7 linked regions of the Sus scrofa genome follow. The protein of the gene in region 7 interacts with the protein of the main gene of each other region in a pairwise test. Links are inferred from orthologs where the notes say so. Each region holds a gene or a part of one and is shown on either strand. Other genes may lie near its edges.

The links.
Region 1: the proteins of CDC5L (region 7) and KIF3C interact in a two-hybrid assay, tested with the Homo sapiens proteins (2 studies listed by BioGRID and IntAct). The link is inferred for Sus scrofa from reciprocal best matches to the Homo sapiens genes CDC5L and KIF3C.
Region 2: the proteins of CDC5L (region 7) and SH3BP5 interact in a two-hybrid assay, tested with the Homo sapiens proteins (2 studies listed by BioGRID and IntAct). The link is inferred for Sus scrofa from reciprocal best matches to the Homo sapiens genes CDC5L and SH3BP5.
Region 3: the proteins of CDC5L (region 7) and YWHAQ interact in a two-hybrid assay, tested with the Homo sapiens proteins (2 studies listed by BioGRID and IntAct). The link is inferred for Sus scrofa from reciprocal best matches to the Homo sapiens genes CDC5L and YWHAQ.
Region 4: the proteins of CDC5L (region 7) and myomegalin interact in a two-hybrid assay, tested with the Homo sapiens proteins (2 studies listed by BioGRID and IntAct). The link is inferred for Sus scrofa from reciprocal best matches to the Homo sapiens genes CDC5L and PDE4DIP.
Region 5: the proteins of CDC5L (region 7) and BICRAL interact in a two-hybrid assay, tested with the Homo sapiens proteins (2 studies listed by BioGRID and IntAct). The link is inferred for Sus scrofa from reciprocal best matches to the Homo sapiens genes CDC5L and BICRAL.
Region 6: the proteins of CDC5L (region 7) and GSE1 interact in a two-hybrid assay, tested with the Homo sapiens proteins (2 studies listed by BioGRID and IntAct). The link is inferred for Sus scrofa from reciprocal best matches to the Homo sapiens genes CDC5L and GSE1.

The regions. Positions count from the first base shown.
Region 1 is NC_010445.4:112,997,924-113,001,423, reverse strand, and holds part of KIF3C (kinesin-like protein KIF3C), read right to left. Parts: intron 3,274-3,500; coding exon 3,155-3,273; intron 2,699-3,154; coding exon 2,582-2,698; intron 1-2,581.
Region 2 is NC_010455.5:2,505,602-2,509,101, reverse strand, and holds part of SH3BP5 (SH3 domain-binding protein 5), read left to right. Parts: coding exon 1-103; intron 104-1,686; coding exon 1,687-1,947; intron 1,948-2,295; coding exon 2,296-2,504; 3' UTR 2,505-3,500. UniProt on the Homo sapiens protein: Functions as a guanine nucleotide exchange factor (GEF) with specificity for RAB11A and RAB25. Inhibits the auto- and transphosphorylation activity of BTK. Plays a negative regulatory role in BTK-related cytoplasmic signaling in B-cells.
Region 3 is NC_010445.4:126,766,295-126,769,794, forward strand, and holds part of YWHAQ (14-3-3 protein theta), read left to right. Parts: intron 1-558; coding exon 559-682; intron 683-3,500. UniProt on the Homo sapiens protein: Adapter protein implicated in the regulation of a large spectrum of both general and specialized signaling pathways. Binds to a large number of partners, usually by recognition of a phosphoserine or phosphothreonine motif.
Region 4 is NC_010446.5:100,650,619-100,654,118, reverse strand, and holds part of myomegalin, read left to right. Parts: intron 1-1,042; coding exon 1,043-1,159; intron 1,160-1,729; coding exon 1,730-1,962; intron 1,963-2,819; coding exon 2,820-2,963; intron 2,964-3,500. UniProt on the Homo sapiens protein: Functions as an anchor sequestering components of the cAMP-dependent pathway to Golgi and/or centrosomes.
Region 5 is NC_010449.5:37,925,153-37,928,652, reverse strand, and holds part of BICRAL (GLTSCR1-like protein), read right to left. Parts: intron 1,072-3,500; coding exon 969-1,071; intron 1-968. UniProt on the Homo sapiens protein: Component of SWI/SNF chromatin remodeling subcomplex GBAF that carries out key enzymatic activities, changing chromatin structure by altering DNA-histone contacts within a nucleosome in an ATP-dependent manner.
Region 6 is NC_010448.4:3,654,765-3,659,013, forward strand, and holds the start of GSE1 (genetic suppressor element 1), read right to left. Parts: upstream 2,801-4,249; 5' UTR 2,529-2,800; coding exon 567-2,528; intron 1-566.
Region 7 is NC_010449.5:39,387,397-39,390,896, reverse strand, and holds part of CDC5L (cell division cycle 5-like protein), read right to left. Parts: intron 3,410-3,500; coding exon 3,306-3,409; intron 1,846-3,305; coding exon 1,684-1,845; intron 594-1,683; coding exon 466-593; intron 1-465.

The sequences.
Region 1 (3,500 bases), on a different chromosome or scaffold from region 7:
TGTGTGTGTGTGTGTGTGTGTGTGTGTGTGTGTGTGTGTGTGTGTGTGTGACTGAGTTCCTTTGCTGTACAGTAGAAAATTGACAGAACACTGTAAACCAACTATAACTGAGAAAATAAAAATCATTATAAAAAAAGAATGGAAATTCATAAACATTAAGCAGAAAGCTTATCTTAGCTTCAGGCAAAGCACTTACCATGCTTTGAAGTTTGGATTGTGTGCTTAGGCGGTCAAGTAAAAATGGCAGGGACAATGTTTTGAGAAATGAATAAAACTCCTCCAAAGCATGAAACTTTCAAAACGCAAGATCCCTTCTTGGTTTGAGATTAAAGGAGACATAAGAGGCAGGACAATTAAGTGCAATGCATCTCCAAAGGTGGGCCAGTGGGGTATGGGCAGGGGATGGGAAATTGCCATAAAGGACACTATTAAGATAACCGGCTAAAATTGAAAATTGTTTATGTAATAGTCTTGTGTCAATACAGAATTTCCTGAATTTGATCACTGTACCGTGATTATGTAAGAGAAATGTCCTCATTCTTAGGAAATATGGGGAAAGGGTTGACTGCAACTTAATCTCAAATGGTTGGGTGTGTGTGTGTGAATAAAGCAAGAAGTGGCAAAATGCTAACAATTGGTGAGCTTTGGTGAAGGGTTTATTGGAATTTTTGGTACTGGTCTCTCAGTCCTTATTTTTCAAAGTTAAAAACTAGAGAGTTCCCTGATGGCCTAGTGGTTAAGGATCCCACATTGGCACTGCTGTGGCTTGGGTTTGATCCCTGGTTCAGGAACTTCTGTATGCCACCAGCACAGCACCCCCCCCCAAAAAAAAATTAAACAAAAAAAGCTACATGTCTTCTCAGAGCCTCTTTCATCCAGTCACTATTCAATGTAAAGAAATTCCTCCACCTACAACCTTCAACTCAAGAACTCTGAAAACACAAAATAACCCTACAGACCAGCATCCTCCTCCAGCAGATGGCACTGGAGTAGTAGTTTTTCAGCCTGGCTTCCCTGTAGAATCAGCTGGAAGCTTCGAAAAAAAATTTTAAGTCCAGGGATCCGCCCAAGATCCTTTAAAATCAGATTCTCTGGAGACCAACTCACAGGTGATTCTAGTTGCAACCAGGATGGAGAACTTCTGTGTTAGATGAGGTATTACTGCAGGTGTATTTTATTTTATTTTGTCTTTTGTCTTTTTTTTTTAGGGCCACACCTGCAGCATATGCAGGTTCCCAGGCTAGGGGTCTAATATGAGCTGTAGCTGCCGGCCTTTGTCAGAGCCACAGCAACTTGGGATCCGAGCTGTGTCTGCGACCTACACCACAGCTCACAGCAACGCCGGATCGTTAACCCACTGAGCAAGGCCAGGGCTCGAACCCACAACCTCATGGTTCCTAGTTGGATTCGTTAACCACTGAGCCACGACAGGAACTCCTGAAGGTTTATTTTAAATCCAAAGTGACGCCATTGAGGACATTCCCTTGTGGCACAGAGGGTTACGGAGACAGCATTGCCACAGTTGTGGCACAGGCTGCAACTTCGTACAGGTTTGATCCCTGGCCTGGGAACTTCCATATGCCATGGCCTCGGCCAAAAAAAAAAGAAAAAGAAAAAAGAAAAAACCAACAACGAAACACACCAAAACCCCCACAAAGTGATGCCACTGAAAAGCCCTTGACTTATGACCTTGACATTTACAAACTTGGGTCGTGTTGCCTGCAGGAGGATGAGCCCCTCAGAAGGTAGACAGATTAAGCAGGCATCTGATGCTCCAGTGAGAAGCTGCAGACCACTCAGTTAGCCTCCCACCCGAGCTTTGGAGAGACTCCTGACCTCTCCTGGCATTAATACTCCTGGGATAGATAAAGCAAAGAATCTCCAAGGAAGTGCACTGGTGTCCGGCCTGCTGAGCACCTCTGTACACAGATTTTCAATTAAGGGACAGTGGGCCAGCTGGGTGCAACAGTCCCTCCGCTGGGTTTGAACATCCAGTCTCGTTCTTCATGGCCACCAGCAGAGGGAGCTCCATACCCAGCCAACGCACGCAAATGGCGCCTCAAGGCGAGGTTGTGGAAACAGGTGGAAATGCTGAATCACCCAGCTGAGTGGGGCTCTATCACTTCCTGATCTGATTACTTCTCTGTATTCTCCACTGGACTGTGAGCTCTGACTGTGCCTGATTTACCTTCTGCCTGCAAAGTCTCACATAACCCCGACGCACACAGAGTGCTCAGCAATATGACCGACTGTGGCTATTTTGGGCCTCAGATAAGTGAATATTCACCAGACTGGCCAAATGTGGGCACTCCCTGGGATTGCCAAGAGGCTGGAATGCTCTTCCTGCCCTCCTTAGGTCCCTCCCTGGGTATTTTCTGTATCCCAGGCCAAAGCACCACTGCGTTTATCAGAACGCCCTTCCTCCGTGGAGACCCGGAACGAGGGCCTGAGCACCCCGTCCTCCGACGGCATCCTTCCCAGCCCTCCGCAATCCACCCAAACCTTCCTCTCCGCACAGGCCCCCGACCGCTCCCAAGCTGGGGCGAGTCCCCAGGCCCAGACAACAGGGTGAGAGACTCACGCTCCGCCGGGCACAAGGGGCTGGAACTTCCACTGCTCCTCCTCACAGTCCAGGAAAAGCCGGTTCATGATCTTGTTCTTCTCCTCTGGGGGGATGAAGTTCTCGATGATGAGGTACCTGGGAGCAGGGATGAGGTAGAGAGGGGGGTTGGGGGGGTGAGACCACCCGCTGTATGGGAAGGTCGAAGGATGAGAAAGCGAAAAGCAAAGAGGCAGAGGAAACAGGTGGCAAAACCAAAAAGGTGGGGGAGGGGATCCCTGGAGACGTACTAGCGCTTGAAAATCACGTTTCTAATGCAGAGCTCGGGGCCTTAGGCGCTACTTCTGGGCAGCACCCAACATGCACCTTGCGGGTCATCACATGCAGGTGGAGGAAGGAAGGAGGAAACAGGGGGTCGAAGAGACCCCAGATGGGCCCCTCCTGCATCCCTCAGACACATTCTGTTCCTAAGGGGCCGGGACTCAAGGGTGAGTAGACAGAATGAAGCCTTCGGGAAGGAGAGGAGCCCGGCGGGGAGCGGTACCGCCTGCGGGGCGCTGCGAGGACCCCGAACCGGAAGAGGAGGGGCCCTACTTGAGCTTGAGCTCCCGGGTCTGCTCGTTCTGCGCCTCCTCCAGGTCCTGCCGCACGCGGATGTACTCGTCGTGCTGATCCTGGATCTCCGCCTTCACCGCCTGCAGCTTGGCGTAGAGCTGCGTGGGGACAGGGGCAGCTCGGAGGCTCCGGCCAGCGCAGACAGCCTGGGCCCCAGAGGCTGCGGGCTCAGAGTCCACCAGCTCCTCCCAGCATGAGGCCAGGGCCCACGCCTGGAGCTCCCCGCCGCCCCACCATCACTGGGAGCGGGTTATTCAGAAGGCAGCCCTGTCCCTCTTATGCCTGTTAACCGGCTGGCTATCTCTCTCAGGTGCTGTCCACCTCG
Region 2 (3,500 bases), on a different chromosome or scaffold from region 7:
TCCAGTGCCATGGGGCCCCGCGGCCGTGGCGTCGGCGCTGAGGGGGGCAGCACAGCCACTGAGGACCTGTCAGGGGGCAAGCCCGAGCCCGATGCTGTTTCTGGTGAGTTGGGGGTGCATGTGGCCTGCTCCTGCTCTTCTCTCCCCCACCCCCTTCCCACCCTGTTTTGGGACACTAGTCACCAAGATGCTGCTGTGTATCTGCAGAATCAGGATTCTGTGGTCATGTTTGGAAAATGTCACACTCTCATCCCCAAGTAATATGAGGGCATTCCAGGCTCTGAGAAGTCCTGCAGGGATGAAGAGTTGTCTGGAATAGGGACTTTGGAATCCGATTTGATTCGAGTCCTGGCCTTTGCACCATGACTAGTACGTGATGCGGGCAAGCATGTAACTTCTATCTCTTTCTTCCCCAGTAAAGCAGGGCACATGATAGTCCCTGATGTCCACTGTGTAGAGCAGTGGTCAGGTTTAATTGAAGGAGTGCCAGCCCCCAATGGACAATGCATGTGGTGTCTGGCCACCCCTGGGAAACTGACTCAGAGAGTTGCTTCGGCTCCCCCTATGTCAATCCAGAACCCCCGCTCCCTCCCCCAGTGCCGCCTCCGGGACCTTTTTTTGCCCCTTCTGTGGAGTGATGGCTCTTGCCACCTTCCTCAGGTGGGCTTTAATTCAGCCAACAGATGTTCACGCGTCAGGCCCCAGGTAAAAGAAGGAATTATAATTTGAGCATCAGTGATGTGAGCACATTAGTGCTCACCATCTCGTAAACCTGTGAGGAGAGGAACATGAACCTGAGAGAGGTTCAGTAACTTGACTGAGGCTACAGAGCATATAGCGGAGAAAGGATTTGCTCTCAGATCTGAGCCCACTGTCTGTGCCCAGCATCACAGTCCTTCTCATGGGCGCCAGTCCTCCATGGGATGCCACAGGTCGTTTTTAAAGCTGAGGGAGGAGGACAAGGGCGTGGGATGGCATGTGGGCTGAGGAGTAAATAGTTTAAGGCCGAGGCAGCTTTTAAACCACCAGAATCTCTGGGCCTTGCTTATTCTGGTCCACAAAACGAGTAAGGCACAAGCTACAGAGCAACATAAAGGTATTGTGGGCTTGTTTTTGTTTTTGTTTTGTGGCAAATGGTGATCTCTGTGGGCTCTAAGCATGTCTTTTATGGGATCACAAGTTACTTGGAGGGAGACAGAGGTCCCAGCAGACATTCCGCACAGAGCTGTCTCGTCCAGCAGCTCCTGCTGCTCCCACAGAACGGAGGAAGATTCCTCAAGTCTGGCTGGCTTTGTTTAGGATGCATTGGGCAGGCCAGCCCTCTTCCTGTGCTCTTGGGGATCTATCTTGGGGACTGGGGTGAAGAAAAGCCCCGTATCTTTGGCTGAATTCACCTTCCATCATGAGGCAGGGTCTGGTGACGGTGACTTCCAAGGCAGGGGCTGTAAAGTGACGGGAAGGATACTGACCAGCCACGGGGCCCAGCGGCTTCTCTTCAGGGTGCTCCAGAGCCTGGCCACTCGAGTACAGGCGAGCCACGTCCCTTTCATCAGGTGCCCACAGTGGCCGGGTCCTGCAGTTCCCAGCCCCTGCCCAGCTCCTCCAGCAGTGGACACATCTGGAGGTGTGTAGGGGCCGGGCTGCTGTCCTTCAGACCTGTGTGACGACTGTCCCCTCTCATCCTAGTGGCCTCCGAGGCCTTCGAAGATGACAACTGCAGCACCTTCGTGTCTGAAGATGACTCGGAAACCCAGTCTGTGTCCAGCTTCAGCTCAGGACCCACAAGTCCGTCCGAGGTGCCTGACCGGTGCCCTGTGGCCGTGAGGCCGGGCAGCCTGGACCTGCCCAGCCCTGTGTCCCTGTCGGAGTTCGGGATGATGTTCCCGGTGCTGGGACCTCGCAGCGAGTGCAGTGGGGCCTCCTCTCCTGAGTGCGAGGTGGAGCGAGGTGAGTGCCCGTCCTGGATGCCGGGGTGCTGGGGACGTGCTGGGGTGGGGACAGAGATGGTTCCCAGCTCCGTGCCTGACCAGGATCAGCGTCCTTCTGCCTCTCATCACAATAGTCCTCTTGACAAGCACCTGCTAGAGAGGTCTGTTTCCCAGCTGTCACAGGGGTGTGACAGATTTCATCTCTAAAGATGAGGGATATACGGAGTTTCTCGAGAAACACAGGCAGTGAGACGTTAACGCGATGGAGGGGCTTCTGTGACAGGCTCGGTGGAGCAGCACTGGGAGAGTCTGGGTTGAGCCGGCTGACGGGCTTGGTACTCACGCCTTGATCTTTACGTTTCTACAGGAGACAGGGCAGAAGGGGCAGAAAATAAAACGAGTGACAAAGCCGGCAGTCATCGGGGTCTCGGCAGCAGCGGCGGTGACAACGGCAAGAGCCCGAGTGGCCCGTCCGAGGCCCGGGCCTTGGAGGACAGGATGCGGCAGCTGTCCCTGCAGGGCTCCAAGGGCAGAGACGAGGTCCTCGTGGACATGAGCATGGTGCAGGTCGGCTGATCCAGCCGTGGCTCTGGCCTAAGCACACAGCGATATTTATACACGAAACTGTACGGAGAGCGTTGTGCCAATAATCCTTTGATGTATGCCAAATCCTAGCATTTCCTCTAAACTGCACTAAGAACGTTTCAGTGACCTTGAGGGCAGAAGATGTTTCTTCTGGGTGACAGCTCTTGGGCTGGAGCGTTTTTCAGCGCAGAGGTGTCGTTGCAGGTGGGCTGTGAGCAGGCCCACAGCCTTTGTAGGACGTTCCTTGTCACCGTGTCATGGAAGCAATAACTGGTCCCTGGGAAAGACCCCGAGTCAGGAAAGGGGATGGGAAACCGAGCCCGGCCAGGGTCATCTGGGAAAATGACCTGTTTTCTCCTTTAGATCCCTTGGGATCTAAAGGAAAAAAATACATGAGACAAAACTCAACACCTTTTTGACCCAGTGAAAGCTTTCCAAAAAAAAAAAAAAAAAATCCGAGAACACAGTTCATGTTCATTATCTCTGATTTATGGAGGGGGATTTTAGAAGAGTATATTTGGTGGGACACCCATTAAAATCATTTTCTATATAAGCTTACCATGAGCTGCACTTTTTGGGGGTGGGAAAGGTGAATGCTGGTCTGGGGAGGGGGACAAGGGCAGCAGGGGCCTGTCACAGAAGGGGGTTCGTGGCTGTTGGGGAGAAGGTTCTGTAGCATAAACCTCATCCCATCAGCCAAGGGGACTTATTCTAAGAGAAGTTGCATGTGAGGAATGGTTGCCAGTGTTCTAGATCGACAAGGTGTTAATTTCTCCATAGGTTGTAACTTTAACAATAAATTATGATGCACTAGTATTTCTTAGAGGAAACTGTTCCTTCCAGCTAGGAAAGGGAGTAGGCATGTGTTGGCAAAGGCTGTTAAATAGAAGCAGTGGCGTCTGTTATGCTAATAGTATGTTATGTGACTGCTGTTCTTGTTTTCATGGTTACATGCATTTAGAGCTTTGTATTTCATTTGTCCTTTTC
Region 3 (3,500 bases), on a different chromosome or scaffold from region 7:
TTATACTGTTCAAACTTGATGGCTTAAACATTTTGTTTCCCTCCCTGAAGTGATTGCACATGCTTGTTTTCTCACTGTTGTGTTCCTTCTGTTACTTCTCGACACATCCCTTCCCCGGGGAAGCTTGTCCTAGCAGTGGCCCCTCCAGCAGAGCCAGATAGTCGTCCCCTGTGCTTCCATAGCCCCCTGTTCATGTGTCTTTTATGCCCTGTGTACTGGTCATAGTGTACTTACCTTTTTCCGTACTAGACTGTGAGCTCTTTGAGGGCAGGAACCTTCTCTTTATTTCCCCTCTGGTCACATGCAGTGCCTGGCACCTAGCAAGTGCCTCTTTGAATGAATGGATGAACGAACTGACAGGCTCTTTCTAATTATGATTGTTGATGTCATCTAGCTTTACCGTTAGAAATTATCACTCACTGTGAGCCAAGCCATTCAACTAATGGCAGCCACCTGGCCCCTGCTCTCTAGCCCATGCTTTCAGTCCAGGGTGGCACGGTGTGGAGTGACTGGTAGTTACTTTTATTAGTGCCTAATGTTTTAACTTATTTCTTTCAGGAATTGTTGGATAAGTATTTAATAGCCAATGCAACTAATCCAGAGAGTAAGGTCTTCTACCTGAAAATGAAGGGAGATTACTTCCGGTACCTTGCTGAGGTTGCTTGCGGTGATGATCGGAAACGTAAGTGCGCTTGGTTTTATGGGTACAGCTAAGAAATAAAAGGAGAGCGGGATAAATTCATACTGTTGCCTTACATTCTCAAAAATGAAAACAGTCATGAGTTTACATTATGCGCCCTTTTTGAAAAATTAAACTCATAAACTGATTATAACCTGATAAAGTTTATTAAATATTATTTAAAAAAACATGCAAGTATTGGGCATTCCCTTCGTTGCTCAGCAGTTAACGAGCCCGACTAGGATCCATGAGGATACATGTTTGATCCCTGGCCTCACTCAGTGGATTAAGAATCTGGCATTGCTGTGACTGTGGTGTAGGCCGGCAGCTGTAGCTCCAATTCAGCTCCTAGCCTGGGAACTTGCATATGCCACAAGTGTGGCCCTGAAAAGGAGGAAAAAAAAAAAAAAGCAAATGTCTATCACAGATCCACAAATGCATACATTATGATGGCAACTCCAGAGGCATCATCAGGAGACCCCACTCCTTCATAAATTCCCAAAAGAAGTATGTACAAATATTAAACAAAACACATGTACAAAAATATTCATAGCAGTGTTATTTGTAAGAACACAAACCTCGAAACAATTCACATGGGTATCACCAATCGGATGGACGGACAGATAGTGGTCGGGTCCTGTTTTGAGGATCCCGGCATCCGTCCCCTGGCACAGTGATGCCTGCCTATCCACAAGTAAATTTGCCCCTTTTTTGTACTCAGGCTTGACAGAGGCTTCGAAGCTTTACAACCTTCTGGTGCATTAACCCTTAGCTGTGCTTAGAGGTACATTTCCTGATGTAGGAGAGGAATGAGGGGTTGGTGGGTGGAGGGAAGCAAAATGGAGAGTATCTGGGAGGGGAAGTGAAAAAAGCCCCCATGGGACTAAAGGAGGGATGAGGTGGGGATCAAAGCACATCTGCCTGTGTCATAATTTTGCTTCAGGAACACATTCTAGGTGTACCGTACAGAAGTGAAGAGGCGTTTCCACTGCCTGTAGCCGTGTGGACAGATCTCAGCAATCCGGTGTTGAATAAGGAGTTCCCTGATGGCTCAGTCGGCAGGCTGCGATCTGGCGTTGTCACTGCCGTGGCACACGTTCAGGCCCAGTTAGTCTGTGGCGTTAGAAATCAGGAAAGGGCTTGGGAAGGGTGTCGAAACTGGGGGCGGGGACAGGGGGCCTTCTTGATACTGAGAATGTCCTGTTTCTCGAGCTCGCTCCCAAGGTGACAGACATTTTCTATCAAGAGCCAGATGGTGCATATCTCAGGGTTCATAGGCCATGTAGTCTCTGTCAGCAGCCACTCAGCTCTGCTTTCGTCGTGGAAAGGCGAGTATAGACAACATGTGAATAAATGGCTGTTGCTGTGTCCCAGTAGGGAAAACCCCAGGCTTATTACTCTTTAGCCTTTAAAATTTGGTTCATCATATTTTTAGCCCCAGAGTTCTTTGCATATGCTTTGGATGTCACATGGTCTTTAGCATCTTATATCTGGAAACTTAAGGTAACTGGAAATTACATGTAGGCTAGAGAAATAGGATGTTGTACTTTTTCTGCTTGACATATTAATTCATTAGCTACTACCCATCTTGAAGGATCATAACATTGACTGCTTATTATAGATAACCAGATTTCTGAAAAAGAGAGGTAAGATGAGAGTAGTATTACTGGTATATAATTTATCATAGAAAACATAGATATGGGGCAAAGAATGACCAAGTTACCTAACGTGATTATAAAAAGGTCAAGGTAAACTTATTAGCAGTGAACTCAGTCTCCTGGAGTAATGACAGCTGGGCATGCCATCCTGTTAAATTCTGTGTGTGTTCATCAAGCTATAGAAGTTCCGCTTAACTCATTTTTTTCCCAGAAGTTCATTATTTTCTTCATTTTGCCCCATCCCAAAAGGGCATGTACCCACACACATTACGGCCTCCTCTCCTCTCTGCTCCATAGAGAGACGCTAACTAAAAGTGAGACAGTTCTACCACCCCAAAAGCAGTGTATTTGAGCACATAAAGGAAAACTCTTGTGCCTCACTGTAACACAGTCTGTGTACTGTTGTTATTCATATGTAATTTCTGTTGCTATAAAGATAAGCAGACCTGGACATGATTAGTGTTTGCACAGAACTAAACGCTTAAATGTCAGCCAGCCGAAGGGATCGAGAGGTTGAGCCATAGCCACGCGTTCATCCGATCTAACCATTTCTGACTCGGCCTCTTCTAGTCCTGTGCATAGACTACTCTGGTAGTCTGGTATTTTTTACTACCTACAAGCTGAGACGCCATTCGTACTCATTGTAGCGCTTCCTTCTGTGCCAGGGAGCAAGAGCTCCTTAGTAGGCGAGGGCTGTGCCAGCTGTGATTACCTCAGTAAATGCGCCATTTCAGAGCAAGGAAAATGCACACGTGCTGGCTGTGAAGGAACAGCTTAATTTCTGTTAGGTCCGTCTTTTTTCAAGCTGTAGTGGGACCAAAGGCCTCATTCAGAACACCTGCCCTTTGCAAAACATGGTTTAATCAGATTAGTGTGGGTAGTGCTTCCTGGACGTTTTTTTCAGGAAGGTAACATTAGGCCAGTAATTAAACTCTGGTCAGAGCAGATTTGGATCTATCTCTGGGTGCTTTTATATTGCCTTTCACATAATACACCTTGATACCAAGGGTAGGTGGTGTTTCTACAGGTAAATCACAAAAATAGAGATTTTGGTGGTGATCTTTGTAAAATGTTTCCATTATTTCAGGATGGAACATTATAGCTAGCTTTTTTCCGAACTTTATTGAGTTATTATTGATGTGTGTGTACCAAATTATTTTTAA
Region 4 (3,500 bases), on a different chromosome or scaffold from region 7:
TTAGTTGTGATTTGGTGTTTTTTTGAGAGGAGGCAAGCTCAAGTTCTTTGACTCTGTCATCTTCTCTCCTCTCCCTAATGTCTATTCCTTATGTGTGCAGGGTACTTTAACATTCACCACGTTTTCAAGTGCTTTTTCAAATAATTTCATCAGAGATAGGACAGGTTTTATTGCCTCTGTATTTCACATGAGAAAACTTCAGCATTGAGACAATTAAAAGACATTCTAAGTTTCCTGGAGTTAGAGGCCAACCCAGAATTCAAAGCAGAAGTTTTGATTTCCAGTCTCTGTTCCTTCCACCTCACTATGCTCTGTCTCAGTACTGCTCATCTTTCCTCTAACCAGGCTTTCCCTTCTGACTGCCTCCCCACGACACCAGCCAGGACTCAGCCCCATTGGCCCAGTCACTCCTCCTTCTCCTCCAGCATAGAGACCTGAGCTGGAAAGCAGGCTCTAAGCCACATTTGCTTGACCAGGATTATTTCAGTCTCCTGGTGGGATTTTCCAATTCCTCCCTGGAGGTTTGCTGCCTGGGCTCCAGTAGGGCATCTCAAACTTACCAGGGCTTCTATCTCCTATTCTTCTCATACTACTCTATATTTCACTCATCAAAATGGAGATTAGAGTGCTGAGTTTAATCACACATAAACCCATTCATTCTTTGATGAAATATTTATATATATATATATATATATACATAGTGTATATATCTAGGTATATTTCTATTTAGTTATAAAGCATGGTAAAAGACATACCACATACAAAATTATATTCAAATCTGGGGTTAGAAAAACATACCTAATCATTTTTCAAACTGGAAGTCACTTTCTCATGGAACACCCTTCAATTATAGGAACATCTTACTTTTGCAAAATAAGTGATTTATTTGCCATTGGTTTTGACTGTGGGTACATGGATGACGATTAGGTAAGAAGAGCGTCATGTTACCTTAGATTTCCAATGGCAAAGCCTAAGCTGTGCATGCATTTGGGGAGCAGCATTTTCCAGGGTTCCTAAAGCTGTGATTATCTTTACTTGCTAGATTCAGTTGCCTCCCCTCCAGTTCGGGATGTGGGCATGAATTCTCCAGCTCTGGTCTTCCCCAGCTCTTCTTCTGCTCCTCCTGGCTCAGAGACCACAACCTTCAATAGGACAAATGGTAAACAGCACAACTACAGGGCTCAGGGTCTAGTGATGATGGAAAGTTATTGATGCAACTAATAGTTGGTTCTCTATATGTACATTATCTGAATTTAGAGAGATTTTTTCTGCATGTCCCAAGGCCCTTAGCCCTACTTATTGCACCTTCTGTGGCTGCCTTTTTTTGTCATTTTTCTTTCTCCTATGGCTTTCCTATTGCTCTGGTACTGCCTCATTGCACTATAATCTCTGCCTTCTTAAAAGTGCTCTCTATCCAACTTAATTTCCTTGTCTGTGTCTTCTCAACCCCCAAATTTAAAAGTTTTTATTAATTATATCTGCCCTGAATACTTTATTGGTCGATAAGGATAAAAGCTGCCTCCTGGCAGTCTATCATCATGAGGTGATATAAGAAAGATTATAGAATATAAAACCCAGAGTACCTATGGACTTCACACTTGTGCTTTCCAAGACTGTCAAGATTTCTTGTTTCTGGCCTCTCTCACTACTTGATGTCCTTTTTGGATTGAACTGAGAATATGCTTATGAATAACAGTGGATTCTGTTGTGTTGTGGTATTATTCCTCAGAGCTGGGTTTGGATGCTTCTCCAGTGAAGAAGAACCCTCACCCTCCCAAGCTGGAAGGTGATGCTACTGACGGCTGCTTTGCCAATAAGCATGGCCGCCATGTCATTGGACACATTGATGACTACAGTGCCCTAAGACAGCAGATTGAGGAGAGCAGACTGCTGGTCAAGAAGATAGCATCTCTCATGAGATCAACCTGCAACTTTCCTGGCCTTGAAGCTCCAGGCCCAGAGGTAATCATATCATAGCTCTCAGGTGCACCTTTTTCCTCAGGGCCTTTCTTCTTCTGATTTTAGCTCCTTCTCCTGCTATTTCTTTTCATGCTCCAGATCTGAAGCCAGCTCCAATCTTCCATTTTCATCTGCTAAGTTCACTATAAGCTCTGCTCTGTTCTATATGTAGCTGACTTGATATATCCCCCTCAGAACCACAGAAAAGCTTTTACAGCACTGCCATCCTCATTGCCATCCTCATCAGTAGAGCATGTTAAGTGTCAACATACATGTGGTGCTGTACTGAGTACCTTTTATTTGCTTATTATCTACTGAAGCCATGCTTGCACATGACCATCTGTAGGCAGAAAAGAAAAAAAAAATATGTCAGTTGGCTAGGAATTGAGAATTTGAATCCATATGGGCAGGCGTGATATCGGACGTGCTGTGGGAGTGACAGCATGAACCCAGAGTCAGCTGTTATCCCAAGCAGGGAAAGTAACAGGTCCACAGGGGGTGCATAAGTTCTTTGGGGAGTAGAAATACCAGACAAAGGGAGTGGCACCTCAGTCCTACAAGCAGTGCAGCTCATCTGATGCATAAGCTGTGATTTAGGGAAGGGCAAGATGGGGCCAGTGCAAAAACTAAGGACCTCAGATTCTAAAGCACAAAGCAGGGCTAGAAGTTAAAGAGTATGGGGGAAGCTGGAATCAAATGAATTCCTGCCATAGGGTGTTCCTGCTGAGATCAGAATTTCACAGGGTCAAGTAGACCACGTCTGCGCCTCACTCACAAAAGAAGCTGAGGCTTATGCTCAGGAAAAAAGAAGTGATTTCTCAGCCCCAGGGATACCCATGGCTACCTCCCCCTTTTCCCAGGAGATGGGCAGCAAAGGTGTCCATGAGCTCCTGAGCAGCACCAACACTCTGCACCAGCGGCTGGAGGAGTCGACCTCCCTCCTCACCATGTTCTGGCGAGCAGCCTTGCCAAGCTCCCAAGGCCCTGCACTGGCTGGCAAAGTGGTAAGAAACCAGCATCGTCTACAGGTCCTGCCCCCAGATATCCTTCTGCCTCCTTGGTCTGCACATCCTGAAGTTTGGGAGCCAAATGGTCAGTTGGGACAGAGGGAGCTGATGGGAGTGTCCCTGGAGGGAGACTTCCCCATGATGGCCGATTTCAGTCTATCTCTGACTGTATCTCTTCGCCTCCCACCCACAACCCCTCAAACAAGTAATCAAAGAGAAAAAGGAAAAGATATGGAATAGGCAGACATGAGAGCCCGGGTAACCCATAAACCTTTGGTTTCTTCACTTTTCCAAAGTTTAGCTGAGCTGAAGTTCTTGGCCATGTTGAAACATCAATACTTCCTTTCCCATCCCCACCTTACCCCCAGGTCCACATAGTCAGGCAGGATCACAGAATGTCACCAGAAGTCAACTGGCCTCTTTTAGCCACCCACTGGAATCCCAGAAAAATCACTTAAATCAGCTTCTCTGGGTCAGTCCTAGGGAGAGTCCGCCTCCCCCAGGGGCTTTCATATCTCAGGCTGGCTCTCTGGT
Region 5 (3,500 bases), about 1.5 Mb from region 7:
TTTTTTTTTCTTTTTATGGGCACACCTGTGGCATATGGAAGTTCCCAGGCTAGAGGTCGAATTGGAGCTATAGCTACAGGCCTATACCACAGATACAGAAACACCAGATTCGAGCTGCATCTTAGACCTGCACCACAGCTCATGGCCATGCTGGATCCTTAACCCACTGAGCAAGGTCAGGGATTGAACCTGCATCTTCACAGACGCAATGTCAGGTTCTTAACCCACTGAGCCACAATGGGAAACCCAAGAATTCGTTTTTAAAAGCAGAATGTGGGTCAAACCTGGCACACATGCACTGGCAGGAAGCCAACAGGGTGAGAGAATGGTACCTACAAGGAGCACTGCAGTCTACCAGCCTGTGGGCAGGGACCGAGTTTCACTGATACACCCACCCCCGGGGGGCCTTGCACATAGTAACACCATCCACTGAGGTTTAGTTGCTTCTGGGAAGCCTTCTGACTTTCTTTAGTTCTCAAAAACTAGAGAAAGACTGAGAAGTTTGAGTTGACAATGGGAAGAAGAATCATTTAACTGATGCAAACTACTGCATTTGGAGTGGATGGATAAGTAACGAGGTCCTGCTGTGTAGCACAGGGAACTGTATCTGACCACTTGTAATGGAACATGATGGAGGTTTACATGAGAAAAAGAATGTATATTTACATGTATGACTGGGTCACTTTGCTATAAAGTAGAACTGACACAACACTGTAAATCAACTATAATAAAAACATTTAAAAAAAAAAGAATCACTTAACGGAATGGAAAATTGCAGTTGGGATTTTGCAGTACACAGACCTACTCAAGAGTATTCATATCTTGCTCGCAACTCTGGGTTTTTATTCCCCGGAATCCAGGATCCACCTTCAGGCCTCCTACCCCAAAGGTTGGTTCAGTGTCCCCAAAGCCTCGGCTCCTGAACCATGGCAGCAGCTCTCCTCTGCTTTTACTCTGAAGTTTCTTACCGGGGTCCACGAGGGCCAGACGCTTGTCCCGGGAGAGGGCAGCTCTCTCCTCCTGGTTGAACATTCTGTCGATCATCACCATCTCAGCAGAGGGATTGATCCGCTGCAAACGAGAGGCTGTAGTCATTTCAGATGCCTTTTTTTTTTTTTCTTTGTCTTTTTGTCTTTTCTAGGGCCGCTCCCTCAGCATACGGAGGTTCCCAGGCTAGGGGTCTAATCAGAGCTGTAGCCACTGGCCTACGCCAGAGCCACAGCAATGAGGGATCCAAGCTGCGTCTGCGACCCACACCACAGCTCACGGCAACGCCGGATCCTTAACCCACTGAGCAAGGCCAGGCACTGAACCTGCAACCTCATGGTTCCTAGTCAGATTCGTTAACCACTGCGCCACAGCGGGAACTCCTCAGATGCCTTTTAGCAAGCATACAAGTACAAACATCTCTCTGTGTCTTTGGGACAAAGGAAGCAATCAGAAAGGAGAATGGTGGGCTTAGGTTGCAACTGTGGCTTGGATCTGATCCCTGGTCTAGGAACTCCATATGCCACAGGGTGGCCAGTAAGAAAAAAGAAACCAAAAAGGAAAAAAAGAGAAAAGGAGAATGTGGTCTAAAGGTTCCGGTCCCATTTTGTTGCATGTATCCTTGCTACATACATAGGATGTGCTTTTTTAAAAAAATTGCACTTTTGGGGAAAAGGTAATTTACAACACTGGTACAAACTTCAAAAGGTACTAAAGGAGATGTGAAAGTAAGCCTTCCTTCTTTGCCTCCCCAGCATCGTGCCACGCAGTTTAATAAACTTCTCCAGAGATATTTTATGTGCACACTCAAATTTACATTCGTCTTTATTTTTGCACAAAAATGGCAGTAACTTACACTGTTCTGTACTTTTTTTTCCCTTGGCTAGGCTCTCAGCACAGAAATTCCAGGGCCAGGGATGGAACCCAAGCCAAAGTAGTAACAAGAGCCACAGCAGTGACAATGCCAGATCCTTAATCCACTGAGCCATCATGGAACTCCTGTTCTGTACGTTTCTTATTTCCTCCTAAGAAAATTTCCAATATGTTGGAAATATTTTCTTTCTTTTTTTTTCTTTTTATTTTGAGGGCGGCACCCTGTGGCATATGGAGGTTCCCAGGCTAGGGGTTGAATGGGAGCTGTAGCTGCTGGCCTACACCACAGCCACAGCAAAGGCAATGCCAGATCTGAGCTGTATCTGTGACCTATGCCACAGCTTTCAGCAACACTGGATCCTTAACCCACTGAGTGAGGACCCATAATATCCTCATGGATACTAGTCAAGTTCTTAACCCGCTGAGCCACAAGAGGAACTCCTGGAAATCTTTTCAATAGGATGTTTCACTTTATATTGTACTATGCTATAATTATATTTTTTTATTAAGGCTTTCCTTAGAATTATTTTTGGCTGTATAGAATCAAATCTTAACTATAAGAACAACAATTTCAGACTTTGGTAGTATAATTTTATTTTTATTATTATTAATTTTTTGCTGCAACTGCAGCACACTGAAGGTCCTGGGTCAGGGATCAAACCCGTGCCCCAGCTGCAACCTGTGCCACAGCTGTGGCTTTTTTTTTTTTTTAATAAATGTATATAAGTACTGACACACTTTGTTACATTGCACTTTGCAGATACTATGTTTTTTGTTTTGTTTTGTTTTGTTTTGTTTGTCTTTTTGTTTTATTGCCTTTTCTAGGGCCGCTCCAGAGGCATATGGAGGTTCCCAGGCTAGGGGTCTAATCGGAGCTGTAGCCACTGGCCTACGCCAGAGCCACAGCAACACAGGATCCGAGTCGAGTCTGCAACCTATACCACAGCTCATGGCAATGCTGGATCCTTAACCCACTGAGTAAGGCCAGGGATCGAACCCGCAACCTCATGGTTCCTAGTCGGATACGTTAACCACTGCGCCACGACGAGAACTCCTGGGTTTTTTTTAATTGAAGGTTTGTGGCAACCCTGAGTCAAGAGAGTCTATCAGCACCATTTTTCCAACATTTGCTCACTTCCTGTCTCTGTAGCCCATTCTGGTAATTATCCCAATATTTCAAAACCTCAGCCAGCAAAATGATTACAACTCACTTGAAGGCACAGATGAGGGTTAGTTAGCATATTTTAGGAATGAATTTTTAAAATTATGGTATGCACATTGTTGCTTCAGATGCAACACTACTACATACATTGTAGAGCACAGCATAGTATAAACATAACTTTTACATGCACTGGGAAACCAAAAAGTTTGTGTGAATCACTTTAAAGCGATATTCACTTTACTGCCGTTGTCTATAACCAAACCCACAGTATCTCTGAGATATGTCTGTAAATATATACATTTTAGTAAAAACACATACATACACATATTTATACTATACTGTATACACGATGTGTATAATGTAATTTAGCTAATCTCCCAAAGTACTTTTTTTTTTTTTTTTTGGCTGCATCCACGACATGAAGAAGTTCCTGGGCTACGGATAGAACCCACGCCACAGCAGTGACCTGAGTCACAGC
Region 6 (4,249 bases), on a different chromosome or scaffold from region 7:
CGTCCCCGGGGTCCCAAACCCCCACGTCTGGAAATCTGTCTCCATCTGCTCTTAAGCAACCAGAGAGCCTCAGAGGGAAAGTGTGAACTTGGGTGGAAAATTCTGGAAAAGCTACACTGAGTGGGAGTGAGAGTCGAGAGGAACTTCCACCTCTGATGTGTTTCAAACCGGGTGAGTGCCGAGACCTCTCGGTGACCTGCGTGGCTGGACTAATTACCAATGTTATCAGGCGGATGACAGACGTGCCCCGAACTTCCTCTGTTTGATAGATTCCGCTGCAAACACTCAAGTTCAGGCTCATGCCTGCTGCTTTCAGTACTGCCCTATTCTTCCACGAGGCCACTCCTGGCCTCCCAACTCCTCTGGCCTGTCACACGCTTCCGAGCTCAACCAGGTCAGCGTGCTCACTGAGCCCTGGCCGGGTGACCTGGGGCAGGGGGAGCGCCCCTCCTGCTGGACCACACGGGGCGCAAAACCCCTCTCCTCTCCAGCAGCGGTGCAGAAAACAACATCGCCTCCTTCCCTGCTCGGGTTTCAGAGGAGGACACGAGAACGGAGCTGCTTACCTTCCTCGCCGCCGCCCCTGGGGAGCTCCAGCCCGTGGGTCCCTGGCGGGTGAGCCCTTGGCCAGCACACACCAGGGTCCCGCACTCCGTGCAGGCGCCGATGATCAGCTGTCGCCCATCGTCCACGAGCAGGCTGTGGCTCGCTCGAAGGGTGTACAGAAACAAGGGCAGCCGGGCCACCCGCACGGCCTTGAGCCCGAGACACCGCTTCTTCTCCTGCTGGCAGAAGAAGCACACGAATATCTCCACTTGGTACTGCCGTGACCAGGGGCTGATGGCGTGGGGGGCGCTGCGGGCCTCGTGCTGCAGCCACTGGCCCAGCAGGTCATGGTAACAGAGCACGCAGGTGGCCACCAGGCCGGTGGAGTCGGCAGGCCTGGCGCGCGGGGCCGGCGGGTAGACAGTGAGGAAGGGGAAGAAGGGCTCCTTCTCGCCCAGGCGGCTGGAGGGGTTCACGTTGAGCTGGAACTCCTTGCCGGGGCCCAGCTCGGCCCCGCAGATGTAGCAGACGGAGGCCGGGCCACCCTGGGCCGAGGCGGGCGGCTCGCAGAGCGCAGGGTCCGAGGCTGAGAAGGCCTGGTGGTACCGGCCCAAGAAGCCCTGCACAGAGGTGATGAGCTCCTCGTTCTGGCAGGCCCGGTACAGGGCCCACACGTCCTCCAGGACGCTGAAGCACTTGGGGCAGCTGCGGACCTCACAGCGCTTGTTGGGGCCCTGGGCGTTGGGCGGGCAGGGCAGGAGGCTGAGAAACGGGAAATGCATGGAGCCCCTGGCGTTGCCGTTGAGGGTCCTGCAGGCCACGGCCCGGGCATCCCGCGTACAGTCCTCCCCGCAGAGGTAGCAGGCCTCTGGCAGGGCCCCGGCAGGCGGGCCCTCTTCCCTGGGGAGCCTCCTGCCCTTGGAGGCCATGCCGGGAGCGTGGCTGTTCAGGGGCACCACGTAGAGCCGCTGCAGGACCGGCACGTTGGCCAGTTCGAAGCTTTGCCACTGCTGCATGAGGGAGGAGAAGCAGCAGGGGCACACCAGGGTGCTGCCACCCTCGCTGATGGGCTGCGCCCCCGGGGGCGGGCTGTGCAGCCACAGGAAGGGGAAGAAGGGCGCCTGGGCCAGCTTCTCCTGCTTCTGCACGTGGATCTGGTGCTGCGAGGCCGGGGACAGCGCACACCCACAGATGTAGCAGCAAAGGCCCTCTGGTGGTGCAGCCCGGCTCTCCAGGGGAGCCCGGGGGGCACGGCCCCCGCCAGCGGCGTCCTGGTCTCTGGGGCAGCAGGGGCCTGGGAGAGGCTGCTCCTTGCGGTCCTCCTCCTCGCTGGTGATGTTGACGTCACTGTCCTCAGAAGCGCGCGTCTCCGCCAGCGGTTTGCTCTCGGCAGTCTTGGCGGCCCTGCCCAGAGGGGCTCCTTTCACGCCCTCTGCAGGGGCGCCTTGGACCGGAGGCCTTTGCCAAGGGTCCGGAAGGCCCCTCAGGACGCTGGCCCGGGCCTCTGGGGCCCAGGGCCTCCCAGCGCCCTTGCGCCGGCGCCGGATGCCGGCCCTGGGCTCCCCGTCCACGTGGAGCTTCGAGGGGATCCCGTCGTCCTCCAGGTCCCCCGGCGTGGGGGTCTCCGCGCCCAGTCCCGGAGGGGGTCCCGGCGCCGGCCTCCACTCCGGGCAGCGGCCCCCGCGAGGCCCGGGCCCGGGGGCGGCCCGCGCCGCTGGCGCCCCGTCCTGGCGGGGACTGGCGGCGTCGCGCGCGGCGGGGTCGGGCTCGGAGAAGGGGTCTGTGTCCGACAGCTCCGACAGCTCGGAATCTCGAGGCTCCTCGGGGGCCGCGCGGGGCCCGGGGCCGCCGCCGCCGTCTTCGTCGTCGTCGGCCGCGCCGCCCAGCGCGTAGGCGACGTTCCACTCGCGGGGGGCCCCGGCGCCCCCGCGGCGCCCGCCCGCGCCCGCGTCGCACTGGTGGGGCCGCTTGAGCCAGTACATGCGCTTGTCCACGGGCGTGCGGGCGCGCTCGAAGGCGGCCCACTGCTCGCCCAGGAAGCAGCGGCACACGGCGCACACCAGCACGCAGCCGTCGGCCGGGGACAGCTCGCGCGCGCCGGGCGCCGGCTCCTGCTGCTGCAGGAACGGGAAGAAGGGCTGCGCCGGGGCCCCCGCGCCCGCCGCCGCCGCCGGCTGCTTCACCTGCAGCTTCAGCTCCTTGCCGCGCCCGATGCCGCCGCCGCAGATGAAGCAGGAGAGCGGCGCGCCGCCGCCGCCGCCCGCCGCCCGCTCGCCCACGGCTGCCATGAGCCGCTGCTTGCGGGAGACCGGCGCCGGCCGCCCGCTCATGGCCGCGCCGCGCCGGCCCCCGCGCGCCCCGGGCCGCCCTCACCGCCCGCCGCCGCCGCCGCCGCCGCGCCCAACTTGGAGCATGTGTGCGCGCCGCAAAGTTTGGCGGCGGGCGGCCGGCGCGGGCGCGGGCGCTCGGCCGCTCGCAGGGGCGCCCCCCCCGGCCGGCCGAGCCCCCGGCGGCGCCGCGGCGAGCGCGCCCGGAACGCAGCGGCGGCGGCGGGCCCCGGGCGGCTGGAGCGGCAGCCGCATGTGCGAGCTCCGGCGCCTGCCAAAGCGTTGGGTCATTTAATTGGGGAGGAGGGAGGAGGGGAGGGGAGGGGAGGGGAGGGGAGGGGAAGGGCGGGAGGGCGGGAGCGCGGCGGGCGGGGGACTCCCTCCCTCGCGCTCCCTCCCCTCCCTCCCCTCCGCCTCCCTCCTCCTCCTCCACCACCTCCTCCTCCCTGCCTCCCTCCCAACCCCCCCCCGCCCCCCCCCCGGTCCCAAACTGCGCACAATAGCTCGCCGGCTCCTCTATCTATTTTGTGTCCAGCCGGGAGCCGCGCTCGGTGATTCATTGCCCCAATTAGGGGGCTCTCTCCAGCGCGCCAGGCTCGAGCCGTCTGAAGGGTCTCCTCCGGGACCCGCGAAAACCCATCAGCCGCTAGAGCTGGTCTTTAAGTAAAGGTCAGGCAGGACGCCGGAGGAGCCAGGTAAGGACGCGGCCGGCGTCCCCGGAGAGCCCGCCGAGGAAGGGCAGCTCTCTAGAGGAGGGAGGCTGCCCAGTGAGCTGGGCTGTTGCCGGCCCTCTCCCCATTCCAAAGGGTCTCAGCACCCGCCCCCCACCCCCATCTAAAGGGCCCTTTACAGCCCTGAGGAGTCCTGGATCCGGGGTATCTTTCAGGGCCCAGGGTTCTAATTTTGGTGACAGGGAAGAGGGGCTGTCTCCTGGTGGCCTGAACACCTTAGTGAATGCACCAGCCATCCTGGGGACAGACTCGGCTGCCCCGCCCCTCCCCACTGCTGGCCAGGGACAAAAAGGGTCCCGTGTGTCTAGGCTGTGTGTTCCAGGGCGATGACTCAACAAGTCTGGGCCTTTCAGGGGATTAACTGGTTCCAAGTCACACGTGTAGATCATGTATTTCTTAAACACACAGAGAGAGACCTTAGCATGCGCCAGGTGCAGAGTCTAAGCAGTTTATACACATCCTCTCGGTCGCTCTTTTCAGTAACTCTGGGTTAAGTGCCACGATCAGCCCATTGCACAGATGACAATGAGGAGGCGGCGAGCATTAAGGTGTACGCTTCGGGAGCGGCGGACCTGGGATTCAGACTCTGGCAGCCGGCTCCAGGCCCCTGTTCTCAACTCCCTGGCTGTACAGCCTCACTAAACA
Region 7 (3,500 bases):
CCACAAGGGAACTCCCTAGTTTCTCTAATTCTTGATTCAATGTCTCAAAAGGCATATTTGTCACCCTCATAGTTTTGTGGTGCTACCTTTTCATGAAGAACAAACTACTTGCCTAGGGTCGAAAGTAGTTAATAAGAGCACTGGAACCCCAAATCCTGATCTGTTATCTCTCTCCTCTGAAGAGGAATGAGAATATAGATTCCTAAAGGGCTGACCTCTAGCCACCAGAAAACCTGTCCAGCAGTGTTACACTGCTTAACTTACGAAAGGAACTACAATATCAAAAGATAAAGAACTGTCTAAAAAGAACAATTACTCTATAATAGAAAGAGACTTACAATAACAACTGCAGATAGAACCATGATTCTAAAAAGTCAGAGGAGCTTAGAAGAGAACTAAAAGAGTTAAAAAGAGGCCTGAGGAGTCTATGGTTACCACAGAAATTCCTCACAAACAAACACTTACCCTCATCCATATCAATCGGATCAGGCCGTGCTGGTTTTGTTTCTGGATTTGGATCTATTTCTCCAGGTTTAAGTTTTCGTGGATCATCTGTTGTTTCCTCTTCATTGTCTCTTTGGGCAGCTTTATCCCTAGAAATGAGCCCAAAGTAATTAGTCACATGGCCACACCATTTAGTCTTAGAAATACCAGGTCCCCTATTGCTGGAACTCTTTTTTTCAAAAACCCAATGGATGAGCATTAACAAATTAAGGCATTTCCACTACTGCTTCACCTGAAAGAGATGGCTTTAAAGTTCTCTAATTTCAGTTGTTTCCATTCACCACGAAATAGGATCCAAGCAGCATCTTAAATCACAAATGCAGGAGAACCATACCAAAAAGCTTTCAGTGAAGAACCAAGATGTTCAAGTAGTTAACTCTCTACAATGTGGTTATGCGTGATTTTTATTTGTTTTTTTACTCATTTTTCCACAGATTTTCTATGATGAACATGTATGATTTGTACAATTTTTTTTTTTTAGGGAGGCACCCACAGCATATGGAAGTTCCCAGGCTAGGGATGGAAATGGAGCTATAGCTGCCGGCCCACACCACAGCCACAGCAACACCAGATCCTAGCCGTGTCTGTGACCTATACCACAGCTCACGGCAATGTCAGATCCTTAACCCACTGAACAAGGACAGGAATCAAACCTGTATCCTCATGGATACTAGTCAGATTTGTTTCGGCTGCACCACAACAGGAACTCCATATATAATATTTTTAAATTATTCTTTTATAAACTATATAACAGGATTCATAATCTTGATCAAGCACATGAGATTTGGAACACATAATCCAAGAGCTTTAGCCCCCCTGGCTTTATTCAGATCTATAACTAATGTTTAAAGAGAGAAAATGCTAAAAGTTTATTCGGCCTCATTCAGAAGATATACATATTTTTTTCTTCTTCTTATGGCCACATCTGCAGCATACGAAGGTTCCCAGAAAGTTCCCAGGGTCGAATCAGAGCTACAGCTGCTGGCCTATGCCGTAGCCAAGCCAGATCCTCTTCTACGACCTACACCTCAGCTCACGGCAACACTGGGTCCCCGACCCACTGATCGAGGCCAGGGATGGAATCCAAGTCCTCATGGACCCTAGCAGGACTGTTTCCACTGTGCCACAACAAGAACTCCGACATACATATTTTAATACTGCTTTTGGAGACTCACTTACAGAAGAAATTCATAGTGTTCCAAACACTGGGCGGCTGTTCTTCCAATGATTGGAGCGATGGTCCTCCACTGAGTTGGCATCAACTTGGCCAAGTGCAACAGTTTTTCCTCTTCTTCTCTGGACCATTCTGTTTTCTTAATGCTTGGATCCAACCACTCATACCTATGAAAAAGACACCATTTTATACCTTAATTAGTCACCCAGTATGAGTACCCCATTTCCACAAAAGACATGCTGACTTCTAGTCTCTGAAAAATGCAAGTTAATTCTCATCCTTCAGTCACAAAAACTGTTCTTCTTTTACAACAGAATTATTAACCATTTGGTTAAATTTGCCTCATCTCTAATTCCCTGTCTCACTAAATTCTACTGTATTTAACTATGCAAGGTTAGTAATGCTTAAAAAAGGTAACTTGACTGAAACATGATCATATGCCTTCTTTCTAAACCACTGACTGGTTTCATTCATCTTACACTTTAATAAAGTCCAAAACCTCTAATAAATAGTAGAGGTTTTGGACTTCCCATGTGGCTCACAACACTTTATTAGAGGTTTTGAAATGATCTGCAAATAAGACCAAACCACTTCATATTTATATTGTGTTTCTAGTTTTCATAGTACTTTCTCTTGCTTTGATTTGATTGTCAGGACACCCTGGCTTACTTCTTTAAGCATCTGCCTTACATTCACTAAATGCTTTTCGACAATGTATACCTTTGTTGGGTGAGTTTTTCTAATTTAAGAAAACTATCATGTCATCTCTATTTTTCCTAACACCCCCATCCCACCCTTTCCATCCTGTCTACTTAGGTGGATGGAGAGGCCTACAAACAATATATAAGCCTAACTAAATACTGGAGTAGGAGCTTAGAGAAGCAGAAATCAGAACCACTTTCACAGGCTGAGGATCATCTTCCTTTTTGCGGGGCTATCTCTACATTCTGATCCTTCCCTCTACCCAGGGACCTAGGGAATTAGGTCACCCTAATACAATTCAAAATATGATTCCTAGCACCACATGGGTCAGAGTTGGGGCCAGATCACTCACGCCAAAACCGTATGTAGAGAGCTTAATGTGTCCACTACCCTGTGACTTAAAAGGGGACACCAGAGGTGTACTGTTGGGTTATGTTATATTTGGGGGAAGCAAACATTCAATGGGATTAGTTAATGAGGAAACTCAACTACTGTAAGCTAGCCTAGAAAATAATCTATTATTTATTATTTACTTCTTTGTGAAAGTACATTCTAAAACAAGCAACTCATAAGCTTTTAAACACAATCCACTTATAAGCGAGGGTCCGCCTGTCCCTAAAAGTAGCTGTATTTTATGCTTCACAAAGCACTCTCAAACAACATTGACTCATTTGCACCTCACTTCTCATCAGTTAAGGCCAACTGGGAGGAAACAGGGGCAGGAGAAAGGGGATAGGAAGTGGCTTGCCTGAGATCACACAGAAAGCAAATGACAGCTAATTCTTAAATCTAAATTCCCATCCCCCACTCCATACGTTCTATTTTATCACAATGCCTGCTGTCCTTGGTAAAGTTCAAAGAAATAATGTTTTCCTCATCATAATTAAGGTTGTTTTCTGTTTTCCACTCATTAACTGGTACATACCATCTGGCTTTGCACTGCTTGGCTGATTTTCTATGCAGCAGTGAGGCAATCCTAGACCACTGGTTTTTTCCATATTTCATTACCGCTGCTTTCAAAATTTCATCCTAAAAAGAAAAAGTGTACTCAATCACAGTGAGAAAAGACAAAATTTAAATTAACTCTAATAGGTTGTGCTAGGGATAAAGAAATATAGAC